4 linked regions of the Stegostoma tigrinum genome follow. The protein of the gene in region 3 purifies or fractionates together with the protein of the main gene of each other region. This does not show direct contact. Links are inferred from orthologs where the notes say so. Each region holds a gene or a part of one and is shown on either strand. Other genes may lie near its edges. The genes, in order: vamp4, vesicle-trafficking protein SEC22b-like, alpha-soluble NSF attachment protein and vti1b.

What was found.
Region 1: the proteins of alpha-soluble NSF attachment protein (region 3) and vamp4 purify together in Homo sapiens (affinity purification with mass spectrometry; 3 studies listed by BioGRID and IntAct, counting the BioPlex papers as one, with this or other methods). This does not show direct contact. The link is inferred for Stegostoma tigrinum from reciprocal best matches to the Homo sapiens genes NAPA and VAMP4.
Region 2: the proteins of alpha-soluble NSF attachment protein (region 3) and vesicle-trafficking protein SEC22b-like purify together in Homo sapiens (affinity purification with mass spectrometry; 3 studies listed by BioGRID and IntAct, counting the BioPlex papers as one, with this or other methods). This does not show direct contact. The link is inferred for Stegostoma tigrinum from reciprocal best matches to the Homo sapiens genes NAPA and SEC22B.
Region 4: the proteins of alpha-soluble NSF attachment protein (region 3) and vti1b purify together in Homo sapiens (affinity purification with mass spectrometry; 3 studies listed by BioGRID and IntAct, counting the BioPlex papers as one, with this or other methods). This does not show direct contact. The link is inferred for Stegostoma tigrinum from reciprocal best matches to the Homo sapiens genes NAPA and VTI1B.

The regions. Positions count from the first base shown.
Region 1 is NC_081361.1:32,182,255-32,189,693, reverse strand, and holds the start of vamp4 (vesicle-associated membrane protein 4), read right to left. Parts: upstream 3,003-7,439; 5' UTR 2,703-3,002; intron 1-2,702. UniProt on the Homo sapiens protein: Involved in the pathway that functions to remove an inhibitor (probably synaptotagmin-4) of calcium-triggered exocytosis during the maturation of secretory granules.
Region 2 is NC_081387.1:19,111,161-19,118,699, forward strand, and holds the start of vesicle-trafficking protein SEC22b-like, read left to right. Parts: upstream 1-4,527; 5' UTR 4,528-4,706; coding exon 4,707-4,781; intron 4,782-7,539. Other genes in the region: uncharacterized protein LOC125467682, read left to right, coding at 1-162. UniProt on the Homo sapiens protein: SNARE involved in targeting and fusion of ER-derived transport vesicles with the Golgi complex as well as Golgi-derived retrograde transport vesicles with the ER.
Region 3 is NC_081392.1:15,156,691-15,164,047, reverse strand, and holds the start of alpha-soluble NSF attachment protein, read right to left. Parts: upstream 3,007-7,357; 5' UTR 2,953-3,006; coding exon 2,855-2,952; intron 1-2,854. UniProt on the Homo sapiens protein: Required for vesicular transport between the endoplasmic reticulum and the Golgi apparatus. Together with GNA12 promotes CDH5 localization to plasma membrane.
Region 4 is NC_081363.1:69,072,984-69,080,588, forward strand, and holds the start of vti1b (vesicle transport through interaction with t-SNAREs homolog 1B), read right to left. Parts: upstream 3,009-7,605; 5' UTR 2,907-3,008; coding exon 2,810-2,906; intron 1-2,809. Other genes in the region: rdh12 (retinol dehydrogenase 12), read left to right, coding at 3,260-3,333. UniProt on the Homo sapiens protein: V-SNARE that mediates vesicle transport pathways through interactions with t-SNAREs on the target membrane. These interactions are proposed to mediate aspects of the specificity of vesicle trafficking and to promote fusion of the lipid bilayers.

The sequences.
Region 1 (7,439 bases), on a different chromosome or scaffold from region 3:
CAGACAACTCCTGCAGAAGATCATTCTCACACACTTTCCAAACTTGTGGCTTGTTATTCTGCACATGTAACATTGTTATAAAGCAGAATCTGCTTGAAGTCAAATAAACAGTGCAATTGGCCTGAACATTTACAACATTACGTGCATTGCCATCAACAGCTTTTTAACTTTATAGATTAGAAAACCCAGCTTCAAACCCTGGTCTGAGGTGGGCCAAACAACCTAAATTGCAATAGCACTCTGACAGTTGGTTTCGGTTCCATGGACTTGTGAGGAGAGGTTGCAGATACAGCCTGCCAGAGGACTTACAACTGATTACTATTTGGTCAGTCTTCTCAATAATTGTGTATACATAGAGGTCAGGTAAAACAGGGTCATACTCAGCTAGGTTGTCCTCCACAGAAAACCCACCTGCAAACTTTCACTGACTTGATTGGAAACCATATTCCAATAATTATTAGCATCTCAGGAGAAAAGCTGGCAAAACTAAAAAGTCCTTTTCTCAAAATATCCCATGGCACGCTTTCAAATAGTACATATCCCTCAAACAACATCACTGAAACAGAATATCTGGTCATTATCAAACTGCAGTTTATGGGATCTTCGTATTGCAAATTGCTGCATTTTCTACAATATAACAGTGACTAAACATCATAAACATTTCATTGATTGTAAAGATTCCTTGCACATTCTGATGCAATAAGCAACAACTTGTTTTACATGGCAACTCTCTGCAGCACTTTGAATCGAGTAAAACATTCCAAAGCATTTCACATGGATATTATCTTGCAAAGTTTGTAGTTCAGCCAGATAATGAGGCATAGTGAAAAATGTAAGCAAAGATATAGATTTAAGGAGCCTCTCAAAGGAGGCAAGGTAGAATGTGATAGATTTCAGGGGCAAATTTCAGAGCTCAGCACAGAGGCTACTAAAGGCATAGTTAACAACGGTGAAGCGATTGAAACTGGCCTGAGTTAAAATGAGACCAGAATTGGAGAGAGAGAGATATCTTGGAGGACTGTTAGGCTGAAAGGGATCAAGAAGTAGGCCAGAATGAAGCCATGATGTAATTTGAAAACAAAGATGAGAATTTTAAAATCAAGGTGTCACTGGGAGCCAAAGTCAGCACTGTGTTAAGTATTTGGCACAACTTAGGGTACAAGAGGCAGAGTTTTGGATGTTTTGAGTATGAAGGCTGCACTTGTATTAAATCTAAAATTATGCTTTCCGATTATATCACAGAGGGGCATCATGGGGATTACAAATTAAGGGGGTTAAGATTGATCCTAGCGACACCAGGTTAATAGTGCAGGAGCAGGTATAGAGCTCACCTCAGTATTGGAGAAATGAAGATTCTCTACACTACAGCCAACACTGGTCAAGCATTTACAGTGGGTAGGAAGTTGAAAAGTGACCTTATAGAGGTTTATAAAAGCATAAGGGGGACAGATAAGGTGAGTGGCAGGTGTCTTTTCCTGGTGTCAGGGATTTCAAAGCTAGGAGGCATATTTTTAAGTTGAGAGAAAAAAGATTTTAAAAAGGTATGAGGGCAATTTTTTTTTAAAAAGAGTGGTGTGTGTGGAATGAACTTCCAGACAAAGTGGTGAGTGTGAGTACAGCTACAACATCTAAAGGACATTTAGACAAATACACAAACAAGAAATCATTGCAAGGATATAAGCCAAGTGCAGGCAGGTCAGACTAGTTTAGGATTATGGTCAGCACAGGCTGGTTGGACCTGTGCTTTACGACCGAGGATATACATCATAACATATGTATCCTCGGATCCCAAAATATAAATGACGCCCATGACTTGGATTCCCATTTCTGAAATAGAACATAGAACATAGAACATTACAGCACGGTACAGGCCCTTCGGCCCTCGATGTTGTGCCGACCTGTCATACCGATCTCAAGCCCATCTAACCTACACTATTCCATGTACGTCCATATGCTTATCCAATGACGACTTAAATGTATCTGAAGTTGGCGAATCTACTACTGTTGCAGGCAAAGCGTTCCATTCCCTTACTACTCTCTGAGTAAAGAAACTACCTCTGACATCTCTTCTATATCTTTCACCCCGCAATTTAAAGCTATGCCCCCTCATGTTCGCCGTCACCGTCCTAGGAAAAAGGCTCTCCCAATCCACCCTATCTAACCCTCTGATTATTTTAGTGTAAATGACTGCAGGCCTCAAAACACGTGCATTTGAAATGTCATAAGATTCAAGGCGCTACAGCCAAGTGCTGGAAATTGGGATTAGGTGTAGACAGGTCAGCATAGGCTTGATGGGCCTCTTCTGTGCTATGTGACTTGGAGACATTTGGATCAGTAACATAAACTCAGGGCGTACAAGCCTCGGTGACCAACAGCAGGCATTGGCGGGGGTTGGGGAGGGAGGTGGCCTCTGTAACGGTAGGAGCAGGAACTCTGCGTCCTCAAGGCAGGGGTCAGTTCTCCATTACCCCAGGGATGGTGGGGCTGCAACCAGGGCTGAGGTGGTTCTCTGCATTCCCAGGAATAGTGGGGCTGTAACGGGTGGGGCAAAAGAGGGTGGGAAGCTAAAGAGGGTAGGGCTGTGACCTGGGGTGGGGTAGCTCTCTGTGACCCGGGAATAGGAGACCAAGAGGCGGTGGGGGCACGGTCCGTCCGTCCTCCCACCCACTGACAGATCCTCCGGTCCGGGGCCTCATCCTTACCTTCCACCAGCCGCCTCTAGGGCCTGGTGTCTCTCGCCCACTCCCGGGTTGACTGTGTCAGCTCGGCTTCGCTCTCCCGGGGCCCCGGGCCTTGGCCTGGTCTCTCTCGGGGCCTTAGCCTGGACACTATCTCGCCTTGGGCCTTGGCCTAGACTCACTCAATCACTCTCTCTCTGTATGTTTCTGGGCCTTGGCCCGGACTCGCACTCTCTCCCTCCCCCTCTCTCTGGACCCCGGGAGCTGCAGCAGAGTGCGGCCTCGGACCGACACAAGCCCCGCCCCCCCGTCTCCATGGAAACGGTGTGCTTTGTGGGGGAGGGGTTGGAAGTGAGAGAATCATGTCATGTGGGAGGGATGGTCAACCTGGGGGCAGGACGGATGAGGAGTGACAAGGAGGTAAGTTTTATTTGTGGCTGGGATGTGAGCATCAATGGCAGCCCACAGACTACCCCACCCTCCCGAATTACCCAGAGGGCATTTGAAAGTGAACCTCATTGGTATGGGTCTGGAGTTACAAAGGACATGAGTGAACCAGATGGGGTTTTATGGCAATCGAAATGGCATTAGTATCATTGATTTATTTATTGTCAAGGGTATTTGTTCCATGTACTTGTTACAAATATGGTGAAAAGTGCTGTATAATGTCGCCACTCTTCAGTGCCATCTTAAACAAAAACCAGAAATAAACCAGACAAATGAGTATAAAGGTAGAAAAATGAAGTTAAAGGTTCAACATAGCCATAACCAACGTGGGCATTATTACAAGATAATAAAATGTGAGGCTGGATAAACACAGCAGGCCAAACAGCATCTCAGGAGCACAAAAGCTGACGTTTCGGGCCTAGACCCTTCATCAGACACCAACTTTTAATTCCAAACTTTTTACTAGAGTACACATTTCACCATCTGCCATGGAGGGATCAAACCTGTGCCCCTGGAGCATTAGCCTGGTGTACCAGTATTATTACCACTATGCCACTGTCTCCTCTAGGGTTGGGAATTGGGGGGAGGGAGAATCAGAAGGGAGGAAGTTGGGGACTCAGTGGGGGAATTGAGATACGGTGATTTGGGAGGGTGGGGAATTGCATGAGAGGGAGGTGGGCGGAATTGGGTGAGGGAGTATTCGGGAGGGAAGGGAAAGTTAGGAGAGGGAATAGGAAGATGTTTGGGAATATGACAATTGGGAATGTCAGAGGAAAAGAAGGAGAAATATGCAAGGAGTCAGGAGGGCTAAAAAGCATCATGAAAAGTCATTGGCCAACAGGATTAAGGAAAATTCCAAGTCTTTTTACAGATATATAAAGAACAAGAGGGTAGCCAGGCAGAGGGTTGGCCCACTCAAGGAAAGGGAAGGGATTTTTTGTGTCGATCCAGAGGAAATGGGTGAGGTATTAAATGAGTACTTTGTGTCAGTATTCATCATAGAGAAGAATTTGGTGGGTGATGAGTCCGAGAAAGGGTGTGTAAATAGTTTGGATCAAGTTGAGATCAAAAGGGAGGAGGTATTGGGGGTCTTGCAAAATATTAAGGTAGACAAGTCCCCAGGGCATGATGGGATATGCACCAGAAAACTGAGAGAAGCAAGGTAGGAAATTGATGGGGCCTTGAGGGAAATCTTTGTATCCTCACTGGCTACAGGGGAGTTCCCAGAGGACTGGCGAATAGCCAATGTTGTTCCTTTGTTTAAGAAAGTTGGCAAGGATAATCCAGCTAATTACAGCCATCTCTCAGTGGTAGGGAAATTATTGGAGAGGATTCTTCAAGACTGGATTCACTCCCACCTGGAGATCAATGGGCATATTAGTGAAAGGCAACATGGTTTAGTGAAGTGGAGTTCGTGTCTCACTAACTTGGTTGAAGAAGTGACAAAGATGATCGATGAGGGTAGGGCAGTGGATGTTGTCTACGTGGACTTCAGTAAGGCCTTTGACAAGGTCCCACATGGCAGGCTGATACAGAAGGTAAAGTCACACACGGTCAGAGGTGAGCTTGCAAGATGGATAAAAAAGTGACTCAGTCACTGAAGACAGAGTGTAGCAGTGGAAGGGTGCATTTCTGAATGGAGGGCTGTGACTAGTGGCGTCCATCAGGCACCAGTGTTGGGACATTTGCTGTTTGTAATATACATAAATGATTTGGAAGAGAATGGAACTGGTCTGATTAGTAAGTTTGCTGAAGACACAAAGTTTGGTGGAATTGTGGATAGTGATGAGGACCGTCAAAGGATACAGCAGGATATAGATAAGTTGGTGTCTTGGGCGGAGAGATGGCAGATGGAGTTTAATTCAGAAAAATGTGAGGTAATGCATTTTGGAAGGTCTAATCCAGATGGAAAATACACAGTAAATGGCGGAACCCTTAAAAGTACTGATAGGAAGAGGGATCTGGGTTTACAGATTCACAGGTCACTGAAAGTGGCAACGCAGGTGGAAAAGGTAGTCAACAAAGCATACGTCATGCTTGCCTTCATTGGCCGGAGCATTGAAAAAATTGGCAGGTAATGTTATAGCTTTATAGAACCTTAGTTAAGCCACATTTGGAATATTGTGTTCAGTTCTGGTCGCCACACTACCAGAAGGATGTGGTGACTTTGGAGAGGATACAGGAAAGATTTACCAGGATGATGCCTGGTATGGTGGGCATTAGCTATGAGGAGAGGTTGGAGAAACTTGGGTTGTTCTCACTGGAACGATGGAGGTTGAGGGGCGACCTGATAGAGGTCTGCAAGATTATGAAGGACATAGATAGAGTGGACAGCCGGAAGCTTTTTTTCCAGGGTGGAACAGTCAGTTACCAGGGGCCATGGGTTTAAGGCGTGAGGGGAAAGGTTTAAAGGTGACGTACGAGGCAAGCTTTTTTTAACAGAGTGGGTGGTGGTTGCCTGGAATTCACTGCCAGGAGAGGTAGTGGAAGCAGATACTATAGTGACTTTTAAAGGGCGTCTTGACAAATAAATGAATAGGATGGGAATAGAGGGATACGGTCCCCAGAAGGGTTAGGGGTTTTAGTTGTGATGCAGGCTTGGAGGGCTGAAGGGCTGTTCCTGGCTGTAATTTTCTTTGTCCTTTGTTCTTGTTCTAAATAGAAGGGGGAGTTTGGTGCATTTGGAAGGAGGCTGAGGGAATTAAGTTGGGATGATTGAATGGGAGGGAGGGAAGCTGACGGGATTGTTATCTTTGCTTTCCACATTGTAGCATTTCACTTGGATTTTGTTTACTTGGATACTGCTTTTTCCTCCTTCTGTAGCTTAACAGGGCAGCAACTTGCTGCAAACTTCATAGGCCACTGACCATCTAATATTCTCACCACACCTGTTTCAAGTTGCCTCTGCAAAAAAGGAATTAGTAGAAATGCGAGCTTATGAAAACTATGAACATTTCACTGTTTTTCACTACTAAATGAAACACATTCGTGTGCTTTTTTTTAAAAAAATGAGGTCAATTAATAATGCCAAAACTGACATTTTCACATTATAACTGTTAATTCAACAAGTCAGCATGTATGTTTCAAGCAGCCTGTAAAGTCTTCATACTCTTTCGAAAACTTACAGGGATACTAATTCAACAAACTCATCAGTAAGTTAAATCTTGCAAATAAGACTGCACTGTTTTGTTCAGGTTCATGAAGACTTGTGGAAGCCAGGCTGCTGACATGATATATGATGAGAATGAGAGTGCTGGTCATTGTTCTGTAACCTCATGTGGTTTTGCTCATCAGTGATTTCTATATTGGGCCAAACTACACAGCACCTGGAAGAGATAATGGGAACTGCAGATGCTGGAGAATTCCAAGATAATAAAATGTGAGGCTGGATGAACACAGCAGGCCAAGCAGCATCTCAGGAGCACAAAAGCTGACATTTCGGGCCTAGACCCTTCATCAGAGAGGGGGATGGGGAGAGGGAACTGGAATAAATAGGGAGAGAGGGGAAGCGGACCGAAGATGGAGAGTAAAGAAGATAGGTGGAGAGAGTATAGGTGGGGAGGTAGGGAGGGGATACGTCAGTCCAGGGAAGACGGACAGGTCAAGGAGGTGGGATGAGGTTAGTAGGTAGATGGGGGTGCGGCTTTGGGTGGGAGGAAGGGATGGGTGAGAGGAAGAACCGGTTAGGGAGGCAGAGACAGGTTGGACTGGTTTTGGGATGCAGTGGGTGGGGGGGAAGAGCTGGGCTGGTTGTGTGGTGCAGTGGGGGGGAGGGGACGAACTGGGCTGGTTTAGGGATGCAGTAGGGGAAGGGGAGATTTTGAAACTGGTGAAGTCCACATTGATACCATATGGCTGCAGGGTTCCCAGGCGGAATATGAGTTGCTGTTCCTGCAACCTTCGGGTGGCATCATTGTGGCAGTGCAGGAGGCCCATGATGGACATGTCATCTAGAGAATGGGAGGGGGAGTGGAAATGGTTTGCGACTGGAAAGTGCAGTTGTTTGTTGCGAACTGAGCGGAGGTGTTCTGCAAAGCGGTCCCCAAACCTCCGCTTGGTTTCCCCAATGTAGAGGAAGCCGCACCGGGTACAGTGAATGCAGTATACCACATTGGCAGATGTGCAGGTGAACCTCTGCTTAATGTGGAATGTCATCTTGGGGCCTGGGATCATCTCCACCTATCTGGACTCCATTTTCTCCCCTTTGGTCCAGGAACTCCCCACCTACGTTCGTGACACCACCCACGCCCTCCACCTCCTCCAGGACTTCCAATTCCCTGGCCCCCAACACCTCATATTCACCATGGACGTCCA
Region 2 (7,539 bases), on a different chromosome or scaffold from region 3:
CTACAGCGAATGCAGGAACAGCGTATGGACGAGCAGCGGGCACACCTGCCTCCGGGACTGGCACCGAGGAGGGCAGCAGCCAGGGTCCAGGAGGAGAGGCGGCCCTCCATCTTCTCCCCTCTGCTGAAGGGCATGTCCCAACGCCGGGCCAACTCCAACTAGGTGGGCACCCCAGTGGCACAAGAGATCAAAAAGGAGTGGGAGAAGGAAACACCACACCCCTCCCTTCCACCTCCACACACTCACACACACACACAAACACACACTCACACACTCACAAACACACACACTCACAAACACACACTCACAAACACACACTCACACACACACACTCACACAAACACACTCACACAAACACACTCACACACACACACACACACACACTCTCACACACACACTCTCACACACACACTCTCACACACACACTCACAAACACACACACACAAACACACACTCACAAACACACACACTCACAAACACACACTCACAAACACACACACACAAACACACACACACACACTAATTGAGGTATACAAGATAATGAGAGGCATAGATAGAGTTGATAGCCAGAGACTATTTCCCAGGGCAGAAATGGCTGGCATGAGGGGTCATAGTTTTAAGCTGGTTGGTGGAAAGTATAGAGGGAATGTCAGAGGCGGGTTCTTTACACAGAGAGTTGTGAGAGCATGGAATGCGTTGCCAGCAGCAGTTGTGGAAGCAAGGTCATTGGGGTCATTTAAGAGACTGCTGGGCATGTATATGGTCACAGAAATTTGAGGGTGCATACATGAGGATCAATGGTCGGCACAACATCGTGGGCTGAAGGGCCTGTTCTGTGCTGTACTGTTCTATGTTCTATGTTCACACACACACACACTCAGTCAGAGATAGTAGGAACTGAACGACACACACACACACTCTCACGCAGATATGGACACACACACACACACTCTCACGCAGATATGGACACACACACACACACTCTCACGCAGATATGGACACACACACACACACACACACAGACACTCTCACGCAGATATGGACACACACACTCTCACGCAGATATGGACACACACACACACACACACACACACACACACACACACACACACACACACACAAAGACAGAACACACTGTGACAGGCACAGACACACACAGCAAAATTCACACCATCAGGCCCACACTGGGATGAAGTGGCACCAGTGAACTGACTGCAGTCTACAGTAAAACCAGGAAATATGACTTGTTATAGACTGCAACCCTACGTTCTGACCCTTCCCTTCCACCTTCGGCTGGTTCTTTCGACCATCGCCTCCAACCGGAGGCCTTGGCATGTCTTTGTTCAGGAATCGAGGAGCGCCCTAGGCCGGGGAGCGTGAGGACAGAGGAAGCGGCCCGTCAGCTGCAGGGCAATGGTGGTGAATCTGACTGTCCATCCATCAAGCCCGGGACAACAGCATGCAGACGGCAGACCACCTGAGAAAACTGCAGACGGACTGGCACCGGGTCCTGGCCCCTACGGGAATGAAAACATGTGACTGCTCAGAGCTGGGCTACTGCACACCCACCGCCCCCCCCCCCCCACCCCCCGAGGGGAAAATGTTTAACACGGGCCCGCTAACAGCAGGCCACCTCAATTCACTGTCACCCCGACTCCCGGCCCTGGCTCCTGCTTTTGCCCCCTCGCCAACCTCTCCGCCCAGCAATTCCATGGATCTGTAGTTAACCCTTTCCCCTCCCCGCCGCCCCCACCTTCCACCCCAGACCATCTCCTGTGAGGTGCAGCTTGTAACCCAATGTGTCGATCAGCCTCCGACCTCTGGTGATGACACCCTTTTGGCCAGGGCTGGCCAGTTTCTCCCCATGGGTCCTGAGTGCCTTGTTTCCGCGCAGGAGGCACCACACAAATGCAGGACTCAATTGCCAAGTTCCTCCCCAGCCCACACACCCTCACAAGCCCCTCCAGTGGGTACGGGCATGGTCGGGGCGGGATTACGCCAATGTCTAACTCTATCCAGTCTATCCACCACCAGTGTTGGAGGCCGGGGAGGGATACAGGGAAAAAGGGAGTGCTGGGGAATGCCACCCTCCCATCCACATCCCTCTTCGGTACCGTCAGGAAGCATTGTGACTTGGCCCCTGCCCCATTCGGAGCATGGCGTCAGTGTGGAGTGGATCAGGCACATGCCAGTTAATCTGGCAGAAGTCACTAGCCAGGCCAGCATTTTACTGCCCTAGTTGCCCCCTGTCTGAGAAGGTGGGTGAGGGTGAGCTGCCATCTTGCACTGTCGCTGTGGGTCGACCCGCAATGCCCCGAAGGAGGGAATTCCAGGATTTTGGCCCGCTGACAGTGAAGGAACGCTGACATATTTCCAAGCAGGGATGGCGAGTGGATCTGAGGGGGAACTTGCAGATGGTGGGGTGTTTCCATCTATCTTCTGCGTGAGACAGAAGTGGTCGGGGGTTCGGAGGGTGCTGTCTGAGGATCTTTGGTGAATTTCTGCAGAGCATCTTATAGATGGTACACGCTGCTGCCACGGAGCGTTGGTGGGGGTGGGAGGGGATGGTTCAGGATGTAACGTCAATCCTAGGGCTGTTTTCTCCTGGACAGTGTCAATATGCTCAAGTATTTTTGGGGCTGCAATCATCCAGGCAATTCAGTGTAACAGTGTGAAATAAAACTGAGATTGCTCCCACTTTTATCATCGTCACGTTGTGTGCTTTCTCTCTTATCGGTGGTCTCAGAGGGGTGCGGGATCCCCTAGTCGGGCCGATGGTTTACAGACACCCACCTGAACATAAACACCAACAAAAGCACCTCGATTCGCATCGAACCTTCTGCAAGCGTTAGTTTGAAAGGGCAAAGTGTGGGCCCACCTTGCCACGTCACTGTCAGCTCAGGAACCTGCAGGATGCAACTGGCATTTGACCAGGACACCTGCTGTGTGACAGTATCTATTGGCAGGGCAGGCTCAAGGTCGGCCAGTCGGGGGAGCTTTTCTCATGGCCCACTCCCTCCTGACACCCCCCTCCCTGAAACCCTTTTCTCCTGTACCCCCCTCTCTGTTTCTCTTGCCCCTCTCCTGCACCCCCTGTCCTTCTCCTGCCCCATCTCTCTGTCCCATCTGCCTCTCCACTGCCTTCTCTCTCTCTCTCTCCACCGCAACTCTTTTCTTCTCTCCCTCCTCTCCCTTGTCCTCCTCTATACCTCTCCCCTCTGTCCTCTCTCTCTCCTTTCTCCCTCTCCAAACCCCCCACCCCTCCCTTCTCCCCAGCCCAGTCTCCTCTGAGCCCTTTCTTTCACCCCCCCTTCTCATTCCTGACCCCTCACTCTCACTCCCTCCTCTATCCCTCTCCACCCTCACTCCTCTCTGTCCCCACTTCTCCCTCCTCTTTCTCCTTTACCCATCTCTCCGTCTCTCTTGCACCCTCCTGCCCTGTCTCTCCTTCCTGCCCCCATCTTTCTCTCTCTTGCCCCCCCTCCTCTATCCCTCTTCCCTCCATCCTCTCTCTCCCTTCTCCCCTCCAAACTCCCGACTCCTCCCTTTTGCCCCCTCTCCTTTGAGCCCCTTCCTTCCCCCCCCCTCTTCCTCCTGCTTCCTCACTTTCACTCCCTCTTCTATCCTTCTTCCTCTCTGCCCTCCATCCCGCCCCTCTTCCTCTTGCCCCTCTCCCTCCACCACCATTTATGCTCCTGACCCTCCTCTCTCTGTCCTGCCCCTGCTCTCTCCATCTCTGCCGCTGACCCTGCTCTCCCCTTCTTGCCCTCCCACTCTGCCTCCTGCCCCTCCTCTCTCCCTCCTGCCCCTCCTCTCTCGCTCTATCTCTGCCTCTTCCCCTCCTCTCTGCTTTCTGCCCCTCCTCTCTCCATGCCCCTCCTCTTCTCCCTCCTGCCCTCCCTCCTTCCCCTCCTCTCTCCCTCTCTGCTTTCTGCCCCTCCTCTCTCCCTGCCTATCCTCTTCTCCCTCCTGCCCTCCCTCCTTTCCCTCCTATCTACCTACTGCCCTTCCTCTCTCCCACTCTGCTTTCTGCCCCTCCCTCCTTCCCCTCCTCTCTCTCCCTCTCTGCTTTCTGCCCCTCCTCTCTCCCTGCCTATCCTCTTCTCCCTCCTGCCCTCCCTCCTATCTACCTACTGCCCTTCCTCTCTCCCACTCTGCTTTCTGCCCTCCCTCCTTCCCCTCCTCTCTCTCCCTCTCTGCTTTCTGCCCCTCCTCTCCCTGCTCATCCTGTTCTCCCTCCTGCCCTCCCTCTCTCCCTCCTACCCTCCCTCTCTCCCTCCTACCCTTCTTCTCCCTCCTATCTACCTACTGCCCTTCCACTCTCCTTTCTGTCCCTCCCCCTCTCTGCATCCTGCCCCTCCTCTTCTCCCTCCTGCCCCTCCTCTCTCTCCCTTCCCTCCCTCTCTCCCTCCTCTCTCTCTCCCTGCCCCTCCTCTCTCCCTCCTGCCCCTCCTCTCTCTCCCTTCCCTCTCTCCCTCCCCTTCCTCTCTCCCTCCTGCCCCTCCTCTCTCTCCCTGCCCCTCCCTCCCTGTGTGTCCCTGCCCCCTCAGGCTGAGGGGAGGTGCTGACGCGGAGCTGCAGCGTGGAATGAGCCACGTCAGTCAGTGTGTCCCTGGGGCTCCCAGAGTTTCCGTACGGCCGCTGTTTGCTCTCTCTCTCTGACACCTTCCCTCTCTCCATCTCTCCTACACTCCCCCAGCAGCAGCATGATCCTGATGACCATGATCGCCCGGGTGGCGGACGGGCTGCCTCTCGCCGCTTCCATGCAGGAGAATGAGCAGGTAAAGGGGGCGGGTGGAGGGGAGTGTCAGGGAGCAAGGCAGAGAGAGAGAGAGAGATCTTCCTCTGTCTCGCACGCTTTCTTTGACTGTGTCTAGCTGTTGTTCAGCTTCTCAGGGCTAAGGAGCTCTATGTGAGCACACACACACATCTGGGTTTGCATGGAATATAAGGACAAGTCAGATTAGTTCAGGGCCTATTGAGAAAGAAGGGGAATTGGCTGTGTGAATGCCATCCAGTATACACACACACTCTCTCTCTCTCACACACACACACACACACACATACACACTTGCCTCTCAGCTGGGAGTTTGCATTGCTAACAGTCCCATATGCCCTGTTGATATTGCCCTGGAGGTGGTGTGATGGGGGGGAGGAGGAGGGAGGGCTGGGGTAGGGTTGGTACATGTGGCATTGTTGTTTTGCCAGCATTGTGACACCCTGTGCCGCCTGGGAATTTGCGGCCAGGTCACACCCTCCTACAGTGCCAGCACCGAGCATTGCAGCCTGTCAGCCCTGCGTTTGCTCCAAAGAGCCGTGTTCTCTCTGAGGGTTGTTTGGAAGTGTTTGGAACTCCCTGCCCTGGGGTTTGGGGTTAGAGGTTGGGGAACGGCAAGCTGGGAAGAGTCCTTGTGAGTTTAAGGGGTGAGGTAGATGGATTCTTCATCAGCAAGGAAATCGTGGGTTTTGGGGAAAGGGCAGAAAAGCCGATAGGAGGAATGTCGGATCAGCCATGCCGTGCAGAAACAGGCCATTCAGCCCATCAAGTATGCACCAACCTCGCCAAAGAGCATCCCACCCAGACCCACCCTCTACCCTATCCATGTAATCTGCTAACCCAGCGAGCCTACACATCCCTGGACACTGTGTGGTCAATTTAGCATGGCGAATCCACCTAGCCTGCATTGCTTTGGACTGTGGGAGGAAACCCCCACAGACATGGAGAGAATGTACAAACTCCACACAGTTAGCCACCCGAGGATGGAATCAAACCTGTTTCTATATACAAACCACCTAAACCCCTCAATTAAATTCCAGTCTGTACCTCACCCCCCCCCCCCCCCGTATCCATTATTCTATACATAAACCATCCGAACCCCTCGATTAGATTCCAGTCTGTAACTCACTCCCAGGTATCCATTATTCTATACATAAACCATCCGAACCCCTCGATTAGATTCCAGTCTGTAACTCACTCCCAGGTATCCATTATTCTATACATAAACCATCCGAACCCCTCGATTAGATTCCAGTCTGTAACTCACTCCCAGGTATCCATTATTCTATACATAAACCATCCGAACCCCTCGAATAGATTCCAGTCTGTAACTCACCCCCAGGTATCCATTATTCTATATATAAACCATCCGAACCCCTCGAATAGATTCCAGTCTGTAACTCACCCCCAGGTATCCATTATTCTATATATAAACCATCCGAACCCCTCGAATAGATTCCAGTCTGTAACTCACTCCCAGGTATCCATTATTCTATATATAAACCATCCGAACCCCTCGAATAGATTCCAGTCTGTAACTCACTCCCAGGTATCCATTATTCTATATATAAACCATCCGAACCCCTCGATTAGATTCCAGTCTGTAACTCACTCCCAGGTATCCATTATTCTATATATAAACCATCTGAGCCCCTCGATTAGATTCCAGTCTGTAACTCACTCCCGGGTATCCATTATTCTATATATAAACCATCCGAACCCCTCGAATAGATTCCACTGTGTAACTCACTCCCAGACATCTGTTATTCTATTTATAACCAATCTGAACCCCTTGATTAGATTCCAGTCTGGAACTCACTCCCGGGTTAGAACATAGAACAGTACACAGTACAGGCCCTTCGGCCTACAATGTTGTGCCAACCTATAGTCCTACTAAGATCAATCTACCCTGCATACCCTACGTTTCACTGTCCTCCATGTGCTGATCCAAGAATTGCTTAAAAGTCTGAAAAGCTCCACAGTCATTGCCGACAGTGCATTCCACACACCCACCACTCTTTGTATGAAGAACCTACCTCTGCCATTTCTCCTACACCTTCCTCCAGTCACCCTAAAATTATGCCCCCTTGTAATAGTAATTTCCACCCTGGGAAAAAGTCTCTGGCTATCCATTCTATCTATGCCTCTCATCATCTTGTACACCTCTATCAAGTCATTTCTCATCCTTCTTCGCTCCAATAAGAAAAGCCTGAGCTCCCTCCACCTTTCCTCATAAGACCTGCCCTCCAGTCCAGGCAGCATCCTGGTAAATCTCCTCTGCACCCTCTCTAAAGCTTCTACATCTTTCCTATAATGAGGTGACCAGAACTGAACATAATATTCCAAGTGTCGTCGAAATAGAGTTTTATAGATTATTGTAGATTTTATAGTTTATTTAAAGATTTGTAGATTATCCAGTATTGTATATATAAAGAAGCCTGTAACTCTCACCTGGCTATCTGTTATTCTAACCCCTCAATTAAGTTCCGGTGGAGCATGGTGAACCTTCCATGCCATTGAAAAGCCAGGCCCTCAATGAATGGTCCAGGATAATGCACTCACCAGACTGTGCATTAGTGCTGTGCTCTCACCCAGGAACTCTTGTCCAAATTAATACATGCTGTTTTTTCACCCCTGCCACGACTCATACCTTGCTATGTGAGGAACGGGACGATATAGTGACTGTGTGGTTGTCTCAAAGCCAGGCTTCAGGAGGACTGCATGGTGCTAAAGTGTGTTCCTGGCTTCAGGAATAAGAATGG
Region 3 (7,357 bases):
TCAAAAGCAGCTAAGTACTGTAGTGTGTCCTCACATGCTCAATTCAGGTAACACTGGATGGTGATCAGAGATAATGGGAACTGCAGATGCTGGAGAATCCGAGACAACAAAGTGTGGAGCTGGATGAACACAGCAGGCCAAGCAGCATCTTAGGAGCACAAAAGCTGACGTTTCAGGCCTAGACCCTTCATCAGATGAAGGGTCTAGGCCCAAAATATCAGCTTTTGTGCTAAGATGCTGCTTGGCCTGCTGTGTTCATCCAGCTCCACACTTTGTTAACACTGGATGGTGAATGGTAGCCCATGAAATGTAACTTGCTGCCAGTGCTTTATGATTGAAGGTGGGTATGAACGTCAGCCCAGTGTTTGCCATTCAACTTTAGCTAATTGGAATGATGGCCATTGAAAAGTTGTTTAAAACCATTTCAAAAATCACTGTTCAACTGCAGAAACAAACTGGAATATGACAATAACTGCTACAGAACAAAACAATGGTTGTCAAACTCATTGGTCCCAAGTGCCCCAATGACAACTCAGAAGAACAAAAGAATATAATTCACTTTAGGGGTCACTGTAATGCACAGGTAGCACCCCTACCTTTGGGCAAAGAGGTTCAAATTTCACCGGCCTGGAGATGTGTTGTAACAGATTAAAAATAATTATGGCTGACATTTCAGGAGATGAATCCAGTCCTAAAATTGCAAATCAAATAACAAGATACAAGCTTATATTCATGGCTCATCCAAACTGTTGAAACCACAACGTAAATTCATACAGCATCTCTCCTGTACACAACATTCCAAAGACTTGGAACTTGAATACTAGACAAAAATTACATTTTCATAGTTAGCTTCCATATAGTTTTCAACCTGCTCATGGATTCAGTGACAATATAGTGAAGGAGACAGAGACAGAATTACAGGACAGCTGCACCACTGTATCACCAAAAGCTTGTGGCCTCCACACTGTTCAAAGCTCCTTTAAAAGTTCACATAATAAAATTGTAACATGTTAACGGGAGAGTCAAAAGATCACGGACAGGTGTCCCAATCTAGAGACATGGCCATCCAATCTTCATAGGCACTTTTCTGCAGCACTGAGGGGACATACACATCAGTGTGGTGCCATTAGTGAATGCTCATGGGGTTACTAATTACTAGTCCAATGATGTTACTACCTAACCACTGCCTCTGGCAATGGGACTTGCTGTGTGCAAATTGACTGCTACATGACCAAAATTGCAATAGCCACTACAAAGCAGTTGTTGGCTATCATGTTCTTTGATAAATCCAGAAGTCATAGGAGCCCTACAATTGCAACATTTCCTTGTCAAATAAAACTCTAGCATTGATGCAGGCTGTCAACTGAGCTGAAGTGTTTGTTTATTGCAAGGTAGTCAGGGAAAAAAGAGACGTCAAATTAATCCCTGATCATCATTAAAACTTCTCCCTAGGTAAACTGTCCAATGCAATGTTTTAGCAATAAAATACAACTTTATTTAAAAGGCACTCACTGATTTTAGGCTCCTGAAGGGATAAGATGTTTATTAAACTAAATTGGCTGGATTAAAAAAATTAGACAATTTATTTATGGAACAGATCAGCTGCAAAATGGAGCATTCAGCAGATTCATCCACAGATGAACCTAATCCAAATTACTGAATTTATCACACTAACCTCAGCCTGTCACTGTCAAGCTTGAGGGGCACTGGGCCTTTCAATAATTATGCGTAGGAGCTTCTGAACTCAAGTCCATTGAGTCCATTTGTTATAGCAGGAACAAACTGTATCACATCTTTGAGGGCATTTCATGACCAGTTACTTCCAAGAATTCACTCAAGCATATGGAAGCAACAATCAACACAGACAGAAAGCAAGACACAAGATCAATTAGCATTATAAATAGGAATTACAGATCGATTCACACCATTAGAACATGAAGATCCGACTGTGCAGACAAAACTTAGGGTGTGCACTGTAGACAAGAAACAACACTGCTCAATATGCAATGTTGACCTGTCAGATTAGATTACTGGCTCAAGAGCTAAAGGCAAACATGAGATAACCCACTGAAGGCCTGGCTTAATAACCACACCTGACATTAGTGTTTGTTAAATCTTTACTCAGAGTGGTAAGGGCATGGAATGCCCTGTTTGCAACAATAGTAGACTCACCAACTTCAAGAGCATTGGATAAATATATGGATGATAATGGAAGAGTGTAGGTTAAATAGGCTTCAGATTGGTTTCACAGATCAGAACAACAGCAAGGGCTGAAGGGCCTGTACTGTACTGTAATGTTCTATGTAAATCAGGCTCAAAAAGTAACAGCAAGCTTATATTAACCAGCCTTGTAGGACCCACAGTAGGCTGTACATTTACTAACCAGTTCAAGAACAGACAACCAGTGTTTATTAGCCTAGCCCTGCAAGGACTACCCCTCACCTCAAACTTATCAACCTGCTCCTGGATAGATCTCTCTCCCACCCTCCCCAGAGGGTGTTAACCAGGCCCTTACATGGAACATCACCCCACCCACCCCAGGTTTATTAACCAGCCCCTGCACTGACACTCCCCAAATTCCCAAAACCCCTGCCCAGTCGCCTCAGGGCTTTGGTCAGCTCAGCCTGGCCTGGCCTGGCCCGGCCCGGCCCAGCGCGCACACACACACACACACACCGCCCCCCCAGGGTTTGGTCAGCCCTGCGCTGCCCCTGCCCGGGACACCCCCCAGGGTTTGGTCGGTTTGGTCAGCCCTGCCCCTGCCCCTGGCCGGGACACCCCCCCAGGCTTTGGTCAGCCCGGCCCAGCTCAGACACCATCCCGCAAAGAGGCGGCATGTTTATTAACCACTCACCCGAACAAGGACGCCATGAAGGATCGGGCCGAGCGGACCTTCTTCTCGGCCTCGGCCATCAGGCCCATTGCCTCCCGCTCCTTGGCCGAATTGTCCATCGCCGCTCGAGCCCCAGCCGCGACCACTCTCCCGACGTCACTTCCGCCGCCCTTAAACCCCGCCCCGGGCCACCGCCCCATCACGTGATCCCCGGGTGGGGAAGACTTGCTCAGAGCATCCTCAGCTTTCTGTGCAGTCTGCTGCAAGAGGAAGAGATTGTTTTATTCGAAATAAGGTGATCAAAATCTCACCTCCATTTGCAAATCGACAATGGTAGATTAATGTTTGTGATACAGGACTGCCAACTCAGAGGCTGGGTCCATTGATCTGGAAATTGATTTATTTCAATAAAATTGGAATAAAAGGCTATTCTCAGTATTGGTGAACGCGAATCTACTGATTGCCATAGAATACCCATCTGTAGGGAGAGGCTGGGGCTCTGGAGCGTTGGAATCCGAGGGGTCCCTTATAGTGGTTTATAAAATCATGAGGGGCACGGATACGGTGAATGGCCAAAGTGTTTTCCCTGGGTTAGCAGAGTCCAAAACCAGAAGGCGTAGTGAAAAGGACCTGAGGGGTAACTTTTTCACGTTAGTGCATGTATGGAATGAGCTGTCGGAAGAAGTGGTGACCTTAACAGAGATTTATAAAATCATGAGGCACATGGATAGGGTAAATAGAGAAAGTCTTTTCCCTGGGTGAAGGAGTCAAAAACTAGAGGGGCATAAGTTTAAGCTGGGAGGCAAAAGATTTAAAGGAGACCTAAGAGGCAACGTTTTCACACAGAGGGTAGCACGTATATGGAATGAGCTTCCAGAGAAAGTGGTGGAGGCTGGTACAATTACGACTTTTAAAAGGCATCTGGATGTGTTCATGAATGGGAAGTATTTAGAGGGGCATGGGCCAAATGCTGCCAAATGGGACTAGATTAATTTAGCATATCTGGTCGATGTGGATGAATTGGACCAAAGGGTCTGTTTTCCTGTTGTACATTGTCTATAACTGCACAAGTGGTTGTGATCTAGAATAAGCTGTCTAAAAAAGGGAGGTGGATTCAATAAGGCTTTCAAAAGAGAAATAATCATTAGAAGTAAGCTTTCTACTTTAGTACTGAGTGGGTGTTCAGATAAGTGGGGTATGGATGCTAGGGCAGTTGCTTGGCCCTCCTGCAGAATGTGGCAGTTGGGAGACGTGGCACACGTCTCCGCTGGCTACATCTGCGGGAAGTGCACCCAGCTACAGCTCCTTGAAAACCGTGTTAGGGAAATGGAGCTGGAACTGGATGAACTACGGATCATTCGGGAGGCAGAGGGGGTAATTGAGAGGAGTTACCGGGAGTTGGTCACTCCTAAGGCTCAGGACAAGGATAGATGGGTTACAGTTAGGGGGAGGAAAGGGGACAGACAGACAGTGCAGAGATCCCCTGTGGGCATTCCCCTCAGCAATAAGTATACCGTTTTGGATACTGCTGGGGGGGATGACCTACCAGAGGAAAGCCATAGTAGTCAGTTCTCTGGCACTGAGCCTGACACTGTGGCAAAGAAGGGAAGGGGGCAGAATAGAAAAGACTCGTGGTAGGGGACTCGATAGTTAGGGGAATTGACAGGAGATTTTGTGGTCAGGATCGGGATTCCCAGAAGGTATGTTGCCTCCCTGGTGCCAGGGTCTGGGACGTCTCTGATCGGGTGTATAAGGTTCTAAAAGGGGAGGGCGAACAGCCAGAAATTGTGTTACATATTGGCACAAATGATATAGCCAGAAATAGGATTGAGGATATAAAAAGTGATTTCAGGGAGTTAGGATGGAAGCTGCAGAGCAGGACGAACAGAGCAGTGTTCTCTGGTTTACTACCAGTGCCACGAGATAGCGAGGCGAGGAACAGGGAGCGGGCGCAGCTGAACACGTGGCTGCGCAACTGGTTAGGAGGGAGGGCTTCAGATATGTAAATAATTGGGATGCCTTCTGGGGAAGGTGGGACCTGTACAAGATGGACGGGTTGCATCTGAACTGGAAGGGGACCAATGTCCTGGGTGGAAGGTTTGCTCGAGTAGTTCGAGAGGGTTTAAACTAGTATGGCAGCGGGGTGGGAACCTGAGCTGTATACCGGAGGTGAGAGTTGATGCAGGTGAGGCAGTAGCAAGAGGTAGACCAGCTAGTGGGAAGGATTTTCCTGGAAAGGAACCAAGGGATCGGTTAAAGTGTGTTTGCTTTAATGCAAGGAGTATCAGGAATAAAAGTGATGAACTTAGAGCATGGATCAGTACCTGGTGCTATGATGTTGTGGCCATAACAGAGACATGGGTTTCTCATGGGCAGGAATGGTTGCTGGATGTTCCAGGGTTTAGAACATTTAAAAAGAATAGGGAGGGGGGAAAAAGAGGAGGGAGTGTAGCACTACTAATCAGAGAGGGGATCACAGCTACAGAAGCTTCCATTGTCGAGGAAGATCTGCCTACTGAGTCAGTATGGGTGGAAATTAGGAACAGCAAGGGAGTAGTCACCTCGTTAGGGGTTTACTACAGGCCCCACAATAGCAGCAGGGAGATTGAAGAAAGCATAGGTCGACAGATTTTGGAAAAGTGTGGACGCAGTAGGGTTGTTGTAATGGGTTACTTTAACTTTCCTAATATTGATTGGAACCTGCTTCGAGCAGAAGATTTGAATGGAGCTGTTTTTGTAAGGTGTGTTCAGGAGGGTTTCCTAACGCAGTACGTTGACAGGCCGACGAGGGGAGAGGCCATTCTAGACTTGGTGCTCGGAAACGAGCCGGGGCAGATATCAGATCTCGTGGTGGAAGAGCATTTTGGTGATAGTGACCATAACTGCCTCACATTCTACATAGCTATGGAGAAGGAGAGGATTAGGCAAAATGGGAGTATATTTAATTGAGGAAGAGGAAACTATGATGCGATTAGACACGAGTCAGGAAGCATGGACTGGGAGCAATTGTTCCATGGTAAGGGAACTATAGACATGTGGAAACTGTTTAAGGAACAGTTGTTGCGAGTGATGAGTAAATATGTCCCTCTGAGACAGGCAAGAAGGGGTAAGATAAAGGAACCTTGGATGACAAGAGCGGTGGAGCTTCTTGTGAAAAGGAAGAAGGTAGCTTACGTAACGTGGAGGAAGCTAGGGTCAAGTTCAGCTAGAGAGGATTACTCGCAGGCAAGGAAGGAGCTCAAAAATGGTCTGAGGAGAGCCAGGAGGGGGCACGAGAAAGGCTTGGCAGAAGGAATCAGGGAGAACACAAACGCATTTTACACTTAGGTGAGGAATAAGAGAATGGTCAAAGAAAGAGTAGGGCCGATCAGGGATAGCATAGGGAACTTGTGTGTGGAGTCTGAGGAGGTAGGGAAAGCCCTTAATGAGTTTTTTGCTTCTGTCTTTACGAAAGAAACGAACTTTGTGGTGAATGAAACCTTTGAAGAGCAGGTGTGCATGCTGGAATGGATAGAGATAGAGGAAGCTGATGTGCTGAAAATTTTGTCAAACATTAAGATTGACAAGTCGCCAGGCCCGGACCAGATTTGTCCTCGGCTGCTTTGGGAAGCGAGAAATGAAATTGCTTCGCCACTTGTGAGGATCTTTGCATCCTCGCTCTCCACTGGAGTCGTACCTGAGGACTGGAGAGAGGCAAATGTAATTCCTCTCTTCAAGAAAGGAAATAGAGAAATCCCCGGCAATTACAGACCAGTAAGTCTCACGTCTGTCGTCTGCAAGGTGTTAGAAAGGATTCTGAGGGATAGGATTTATGACCATCTGGAAGAGCATGGCTTGATCAAATACAGTCAACACGGCTTTGTGAGGGGTAGGCCATGCCTCACAAACCTTATCGAGTTTTTTGAGGATGTGACTAGAAAAGTTGATGAGGGTCGAGCTGTGGATGTGGTTGGTGTATATGGACTTCAGTAAGGCATTTGATAAGGTTCCCCATGGTAGGCTCATTCAGAAGGTCAGGAGGAATGGGATACAGGGGAACTTAGCTGCTTGGATACAGAATTGGCTGGCCAACAGAAGACAGTGAGTGGTAGTAGAAGGAAAATATTCTGCCTGGAAGTCAGTGGTGAGTGGGGTTCCACAGGGCTCTGTCCTTGGGCCTCTACTGTTTGTAATTTTTATTAATGACTTGGATGAGGGGATTGAAGGATGGGTCTGCAACGTTGCAGACGACACAAAGGTCGGAGGTGTCGTTGACGGTATAGAGGGCTGTTAGGCTGCAGTGGGACATTGACAGGATGCAGAGATGGGCTGAGAGGTGGCAGATGGAGTTCAACCTGGATAAATGCGAGGTGATGCATTTTGGAAGGTCGAATTTGAAAGCTGAGTACAGGATTAAGGATAGGATTCTTGGCAGTGTGGAGGAACAGAGGGATCTTGGTGTGCAGATACATAGATCCCTTAAAATGGCCACCCAAGTGGACAGGGTTGTTAAGAAAGCATATGGTGTTTTGGCTTTCAATAACA
Region 4 (7,605 bases), on a different chromosome or scaffold from region 3:
CATCTGCCAATGTGGTATACTGCATCCATTGTACCCGGTGTGGCTTCCTCTACATTGGGGAAACCAAGCGGACGCTTGGGGACTGCTTTGCAGAACACCTACGCTCAGTTTGCAGTAAACAACTGCACCTCCCAGACGCGAACCAGTTCAACTCCCCCTCCCATTCCGCAGATGACATGTCCATCCTGGGCCTCCTGCAGCACCACAACGATGCCACCCGTAGGTTGCAGGAACAGCAACCGTATCCCGCTGGGGACCCCGTCACCCAAAGGTATCAATGTGGATTTCACCAGCTTCAAAATCTGCCTTGCCCCCACTGCATCCCAAAACCAGCCCCGCTCGTCCCTGTCTCCTTAACCTGTTCTTCCTCTCACCTATCCCCTCCTCCCACCTCAAGCCATACCTCCATTTCCTACCTACTAACCTCATCCCGCCCCCTTGACCTGTCCATCCTCCCCTGACTGACCTATCCCCTCCCTACCTCCTCACCCTTACTCTTCTTTGTACCTATCTTCTCCTCTATCCATCTTCAGTCCGACTCCCCCATCTCCCTATTTATTTCAGAATCTTCTCCCCGTTCCTCCTCTCTGATGAAGGGTCTAGGCCCGAAACGTCAGCTCGTGCTCCTAAGATGCTGCTTGGCCTGCTGTGTTCGTCCAGCCCCACACTTTGTTATCCTGAATTCTCCAGCATCTGCAGTTCTCATTATCTCAGACCAGAATTGAATACAGCATTCCAAAAGTGGTCTAACAAATATCCTGTACAGCCAACACATGACTTCCCAACTTTTATACTCAGTACACTAACCAATAAAGACAAGTGTACCAAATGCCTTCTTCACTATCCTGTCTACCTCCAACTCTATTTTTAAGGAACAATGAACCTGCACTCCAAGGTCTCTTTCTTCGGCAACACTCCCCAGGACCTTACTGTTAAGGTGTGTAAGTCCTGCCCTGGTTTGTCTTACTAAAAGGAGTACCTCACATTTATCTCAATTAAATTCTATCTGCCACATCTCAGCTCATCTGTTTGAGATTCCGTTGTACTCTGAAATAATCTTCTTGGCTGTCCACTAAACACGAATTTGGTGGCATCACATCCAGATTATTTATAAAAATAATGAAAAGCAGCACACCACTGGTTATAGGCCTCCAGTCTGAAAAGCAACCCTCCAGCACCACTTTCTGACTCAAAGGTAGGAGACAGTCTGTATCCACATGGTTAGTTCACCCTGTACGTAATCTAACCTTGCTAACCAGTCTACTATGCAGAATCTTGTCAAACACCTCACTGAAACCCATATAGACCATATACACCATTCCTCTTTGTCACTTCTTCAAAAAACTCAATCAAGTCTGTGAAACATGATTCCCCACGCACAAAGCCATGTTGACTATCCCTAATCAGTCCTTGCCTTTCCAAATATTAGTAAATCCTGTCCCTCAGGATTCCCTCCAACAGCGTGCCCACCATCGATGTCAGGCTCACCAGTTTACAGTTCGCTGGCTTTTCCTTCCCACCTTTCTTAAATACTGGCACCACATTAACCAATCTTCAGTCTTTTGGCACCTCACCTGTGGCTATCAATGATACAAATATCTCAGCAAGGGGCCCAGCAATCACCTCCCTAGCCTACCTGATCAGATCCTGGGAATTTATCCATTTTAAGACATCCAGCACCACCTCATCAGTAACATGAGCCCTTTTCCAAGATATCACTATTTATTTCCCGTAGTTCTCTATCTTCCATATCCTTCTCCACAGTAAACATTGTTGCAAAATACTCATTTAGTATCTCACCCATCTCGGGGTTATAAATAATAAAGTCAGAGATGGTTTGTAGGTGTTATCGGCCAGACCAAACCCCTTTAAAATATATTGATAAGATAGCCTACCCCAACTTTTTCTTATTTTAAAAAGGCAAGTGTAAGGCATTGTGTTCCAGATGCAATGCGATTGGTCAAACTATTCAACTTTCAGGAAAACATGCTTTATTTTTACACTACAGTTAAAGTCCAGACAAAATAAAAAGAAAAGGAAAGAATTGGCTTAACTGTAACTCTATAAAAATGCCTTAAATAATAAAGTACGTATTAACTACTAATTAACTGTCCAAATATAGTAACATCCCATAAATACTGTTGAGAAAGGTAAACTCAGTCAAATAGATCGTCTCACATGCAATTCTAACAACAAGACCCAAGCAACTGCAGAAAGCTAAAACTAAAAATCCTGGTTCTGAGAGAGTTGAACCCGACCCATTCAGCCTGCTTCTATTGCTCCAACTTTAAAAAAACACCCAAGTCCTCACAAGCTGTTTAATTATCTTTGAGCAGACCACTGAGCACCTAAGTCTCAACCTTCCTTTATAAAAGAAAAACAGGACAAAATAAACCTTTTAAGCCATTGTATCATCACAAAGCAGAGAAAAGATGCCAGTGAGAGGAAGGGCCGTCTGTTTTGGCTATCATTTTCAGTGTTGATGATTTCACAAAGTTACAGTGACAGCTAGTTTTGAACTGGAACTGGAGTCCAAAAGGGTGTTCATTGCTGGACTTTACAGCATGCAAACTGGTGCTCTACGCAGGGCCAGTACAGGCCAGGGCTATACGCAGAACATATAGAGGTGAGGGCTGATTACATGCTGTACACAGTGAGAGGGAATGTCTCCCTAAAGGGGAGCAAATGGGAAATTCTCGTAAGAAGGGTCAGATCAGCCATGATATCATTGAATGGTAGAGCAGGCTCGAAGGACTGAATGGCCTACGCTCAAACCTCATAAAGAAAAAGCAGCATTTCTCAGTCTCACCTCCTGAATATCTAGGCAGGCGCTCACATTGACACCTCAGTTCCTCGAAAACACTACCAAAGGCTTCGTGCATCTTCTCAAACTCCTCGGATGACATCTTTAAAGTGATTTAAATCTCGATCTGGTACAAAACAAACAGCCGACAGCGACACAACGTCCGACTTTTCAAGCCCCGCCTCCTTCCGCAATCACATGACAATATACACACAACAACATCCCCCATCCCCGACCACAAAATCCTGAGGTTTTATCAACATCGTTACTTACTGCTTCAGCCACCATTTTCAGATCGTCATCTCCCCGCTAAAGGGGCAATAACCGAGTCTCTTAAGCCCCGGGGGGTTGGGGGAAGGAGACGGAGACGGACCGCGTGGCCCCGTGCATTCTGGGGGTTGTAGTCCCAGCCGCTTCTGGTTCCCCGGGGATTGGCCGAGCCCTTTCCTGCAGAAGATGCCGGTCTTGTTCACCATCATTGGGATCTCTGCAATTGCTGCTCTTCTGGCAGCATTTGGCCCATATATCAGGTCAGTATTTTCGCCTAAGGATGAATTCGAAGCCCTTCTTGGCTCTGTAAAGATAAAGTTAAATTGTATGTAATTTTACAAACTGTAAGCAGGCTTTTACTTAGTAATGTGGGTTCCAGCCCCTTGAAAAAATGTTACAATTTGTCACGAACAAATTGGGAGTTCAGTTGTATTCGTTAAACTAACACGCAATACAGAATACAGTTTTACGAAATCTGTTTATTTGAATAAGAAGCAAAATAATTGGGCTTTTGTAGATTATTTTCAAAGTACCTTGAGGAATCGTTCGAATTGATTGTGCAGGAAAGTACATCTTGCCGGTGTATTTTAACCATCTTTTGTTTTCTTGGCTGAACATTTGCTGCGGTTAAGTAAATCAGCCCATTCTCTCTGTACCCGAATAAAACTTTGCTTGTAAAAATAAAACCCTTCAAAGTGGTCATTTACATAATCAATCTTTTGTTCGCAGAAACCACTGCCCTGTAATTGTACAACATTTGCAACGTACTGCACGCAGAAGGCATGGACTTATAATCAGATCATGAGTTTGGGATAATAAAATGTGAGGCTGGATGAACACAGCAGGCCAAGCAGCATCTCAGGAGCACAAAAGCTGACGTTTCGGGCCTAGACCCTTCATCAGAGAGGGGGATGGGGGGAGGGAACTGGAATAAATAGGGAGAGAGGGGGAGGCGGAACGAAGATGGAGAGTAAAGAAGATAGGTGGAGAGGGTGTAGGTGGGGAGGTAGGGAGGGGATAGGTCAGTCCAGGGAAGACGGACAGGTCAAGGAGGTGGGATGAGGTTAGTAGGTAGCGGGGGGTGCGGCTTGGGGTGGGAGGAAGGGATGGGTGAGAGGAAGAACCGGTTAGGGAGGCAGAGACAGGTTGGACTGGTTTTGGGATGCAGTGGGTGGGGGGGAAGAGCTGGGCTGGTTGTGTGGTGCAGTGGGGGGAGGGGATGAACTGGGATTTCAGATACCTCTCACTTTGGCTACTTGCTGTTTCGGCTGATTTTTCAGTCACTGCTTTTCAGGATTAGTTCCTTATTGGATCAAAGGTGTTTCACTTGAAGCTAATAAAATGTGAGGCTGGATGAACACAGCAGGCCAAGCAGCATCTCAGGAGCACAAAAGCTGACGTTTCGGGCCTAGACCCTTCATCAGAGCGGGGGATGGGGGGAGGGAACTGGAATAAATAGGGAGAGAGGGGGAGGCGGACCGAAGATGGAGAGTAAAGAAGATAGGTGGAGAGAGTGTAGGTGGGGAGGTAGGGAGGGGATAGGTCAGTCCAGGGAAGATGGACAGGTCAAGGAGGTGGGATGAGGTTAGTAGGTAGCTTGGGGTGGGAGGAAGGGATGGGTGAGAGGAAGAACCGGTTAGGGAGGCAGAGACAGGCTGGACTGGTTTTGGGATGCAGTGGGTGGGGGGGAAGAGCTGGGCTGGTTGTGTGGTGCAGTGGGGGGAGGGGATGAACTGGGCTGGTTTAGGGATGCAGTAGGGGAAGGGGAGATTTTGAAACTGGTGAAGTCCACATTGATACCATATGGCTGCAGGGTTCCCAGGCGGAATATGAGTTGCTGTTCCTGCAACCTTCGGGTGGCATCATTGTGGCAGTGCAGGAGTCCCATGATGGACATGTCATCAAGAGAATGGGAGGGGGAGTGGAAATGGTTTGCGACTGGGAGGTGCAGTTGTTTGTTGCGAACTGAGCGGAGGTGTTCTGCAAAGCGGTCCCCAAGCCTCCGCTTGGTTTCCCCAATGTAGAGGAAGCCGCACCGGGTACAGTGGATGCAGTATACCACATTGGCAGATGTGCAGGTGAACCTCTGCTTAATGTGGAATGTCATCTTGGGGCCTGGGATGGGGGTGAGGGAGGAGGTGTGGGGACAAGTGTAGCATTTCCTGCGGTTGCAGGGGAAGGTGCCGGGTGTGGTGGGGTTGGAGGGCAGTGTGGAGCGAACAAGGGAGTCACGGAGAGAGTGGTCTCTCCGGAAAGCAGACAGGGGAGGGGATGGAAAAATGTCTTGGGTGGTGGGGTCGGATTGTAAATGGCGGAAGTGTCGGAGGATAATGCGTTGTATCCGGAGGTTGGTAGGGTGGTGTGTGAGAACGAGGGGGTTCCTCTTGGGGCGGTTGTGGCGGGGGCGGGCTGTGAGGGATGTGTCGCGGGAAATGCGGGAGACGCGGTCAAGGGCGTTCTCGATCACCGTGGGGGGAAAGTTGCGGTCCTTAAAGAACTTGGACATCTGGGATGTGCGGGAGTGGAATGTCTTATCGTGGGGGCGGAGGCGGAGGAATTGGGAGTAGGGGATGGAATTTTTGCAGGAGGGTGGGTGGGAGGAGGTGTATTCTAGGTAGCTGTGGGAGTCGGTGGGCTTGAAATGGACATCAGTTACAAGCTGGTTGCCTGAGATGGAGACTGAGAGGTCCAGGAAGGTGAGGGATGTGCTGGAGATGGCCCAGGTGAACTGAAGGTTGGGGTGGAAGGTGTTGGTGAAGTGGATGAACTGTTCGAGCTCCTCTGGGGAGCAAGAGGCGGCGCCGATACAGTCATCAATGTACCGGAGGAAGAGGTGGGGTTTGGGGCCTGTGTAGGTGCGGAAGAGGGACTGTTCCACGTAACCTACAAAGAGGCAGGCATAGCTGGGCCCCATGCGGGTGCCCATGGCCACCCCCTTAGTCTGTAGGAAGTGGGAGGAGTCAAAAGAGAAGTTGTTGAGTGTGAGGACGAGTTCAGTTAGGCGGATGAGAGTGTCGGTGGAGGGGGCCTGGTCGGGCCTGCGGGACAGGAAGAAGCGGAGGGCCTTGAGGCCATCTGCATGCGGAATGCAGGTGTACAGGGACTGGACGTCCATGGTGAATATGAGGTGTTGGGGGCCAGGGAATTGGAAGTCCTGGAGGAGGTGGAGGGCGTGGGTGGTGTCACGGACGTAGGTGGGGAGTTCCTGGACCAAAGGGGAGAAAATGGAGTCCAGATAGGTGGAGATGAGTTCGGTGGGGCAGGAGCAGGCTGAGACGATGGGTCGACCAGGGCAGGCAGGTTTGTGGATTTTGGGAAGGAGATAGAAACGGGCCGTGCGGGGTTGGGGAACAATGAGGTTGGAGGCTGTGGGTGGGAGGTCCCCTGAGGTGATGAGGTCGTGAATGGTGTTGGAGATGATGGTTTGGTGCTCGGGTGTGGGGTCATGATCGAGGAGGCGGTAGGAGGTGGTGTCGGAGAGTTGGCGTCTGGCCTCGGCGATGTAGAGGTCAGTGCGCCATACTACCACTGCGCCACCCTTGTCTGCGGGTTTGATGGTGAGGTTGGGGTGGGAGCGGAGGGCTGCCCGTTCTGCGGGGGAGAGGTTGGAGTGGGTGAGAGGGGCGGAGAGGTTGAGGCGGTTAATGTCTCGACGACAGTTGGAGATGAAGAGGTCGAGGGAGGGTAGGAGGCCGGGGGGTGGTGTCCAGGAGGAGGACTTGTGTTGGAAGCGGGTGAAGGGGTCAGTGGAAGGAGGGTTGGGTTCCCGGTTGAAGAAGTAGGCAAGGAGGCGAAGACGGCGGAAAAACTGCTCTATGTCCGACCGTGACTGGTATTCGTTGATGTGTGGTTGTAGGGGGACAAAGGTGAGCCCCTTGCTAAGGACTGACCGTTCGTCCTCAGTCAGTGGGAGGTCTGGGGGGATGGTGAAGATGCGGCAGGGCTCAGTGTGGCTGTCTCCTCTGGGGTTGCAGGCTGTGGAGGTTGTGGGCGGAGCGATGAGGTCGTCGGCCGTGGGCGGGGTTCCGTCGGCCGTGGGCGGGGTTCCCCCACTTGAAGCTTTAGCTTTGTGAATGGTGTTACCCGATCTAAATTCTTCTCCCTGAACCTAACTACTTTCAGTCGGGATCTTTAAACTAATTAGCAAAACTAATCTTGTTCAGCAAAGCCAGATCTTACAAATGGTTTTTATTTCACATTTCCACGTGAACCATTTAACCATTAACCACGCTCTGTTCGGCAGAATAGGTGTTATTCCCACACAGCCTTGGTTTTGTACTGGGGGAAACTATTAATGCAGCACTATTTATTATGTAGCTTGGGAACTCCTAATGTTCAGTTTTCTGTAATTAAGTACTGAACAAGCTGCAAGAGAACGAGCGGGGGGGAGTCTTACGGAGATCTGAATAACATTGGCCATGGTGAGAAATCTGGAAAATAGCATGAGAAGTGAGACAAGCCAATTTTCAGACAGTTTTGAGATTATTGCTTGGGAGCAGCAAGATGAATAGTAAGAGGGATTAATGCTCAAT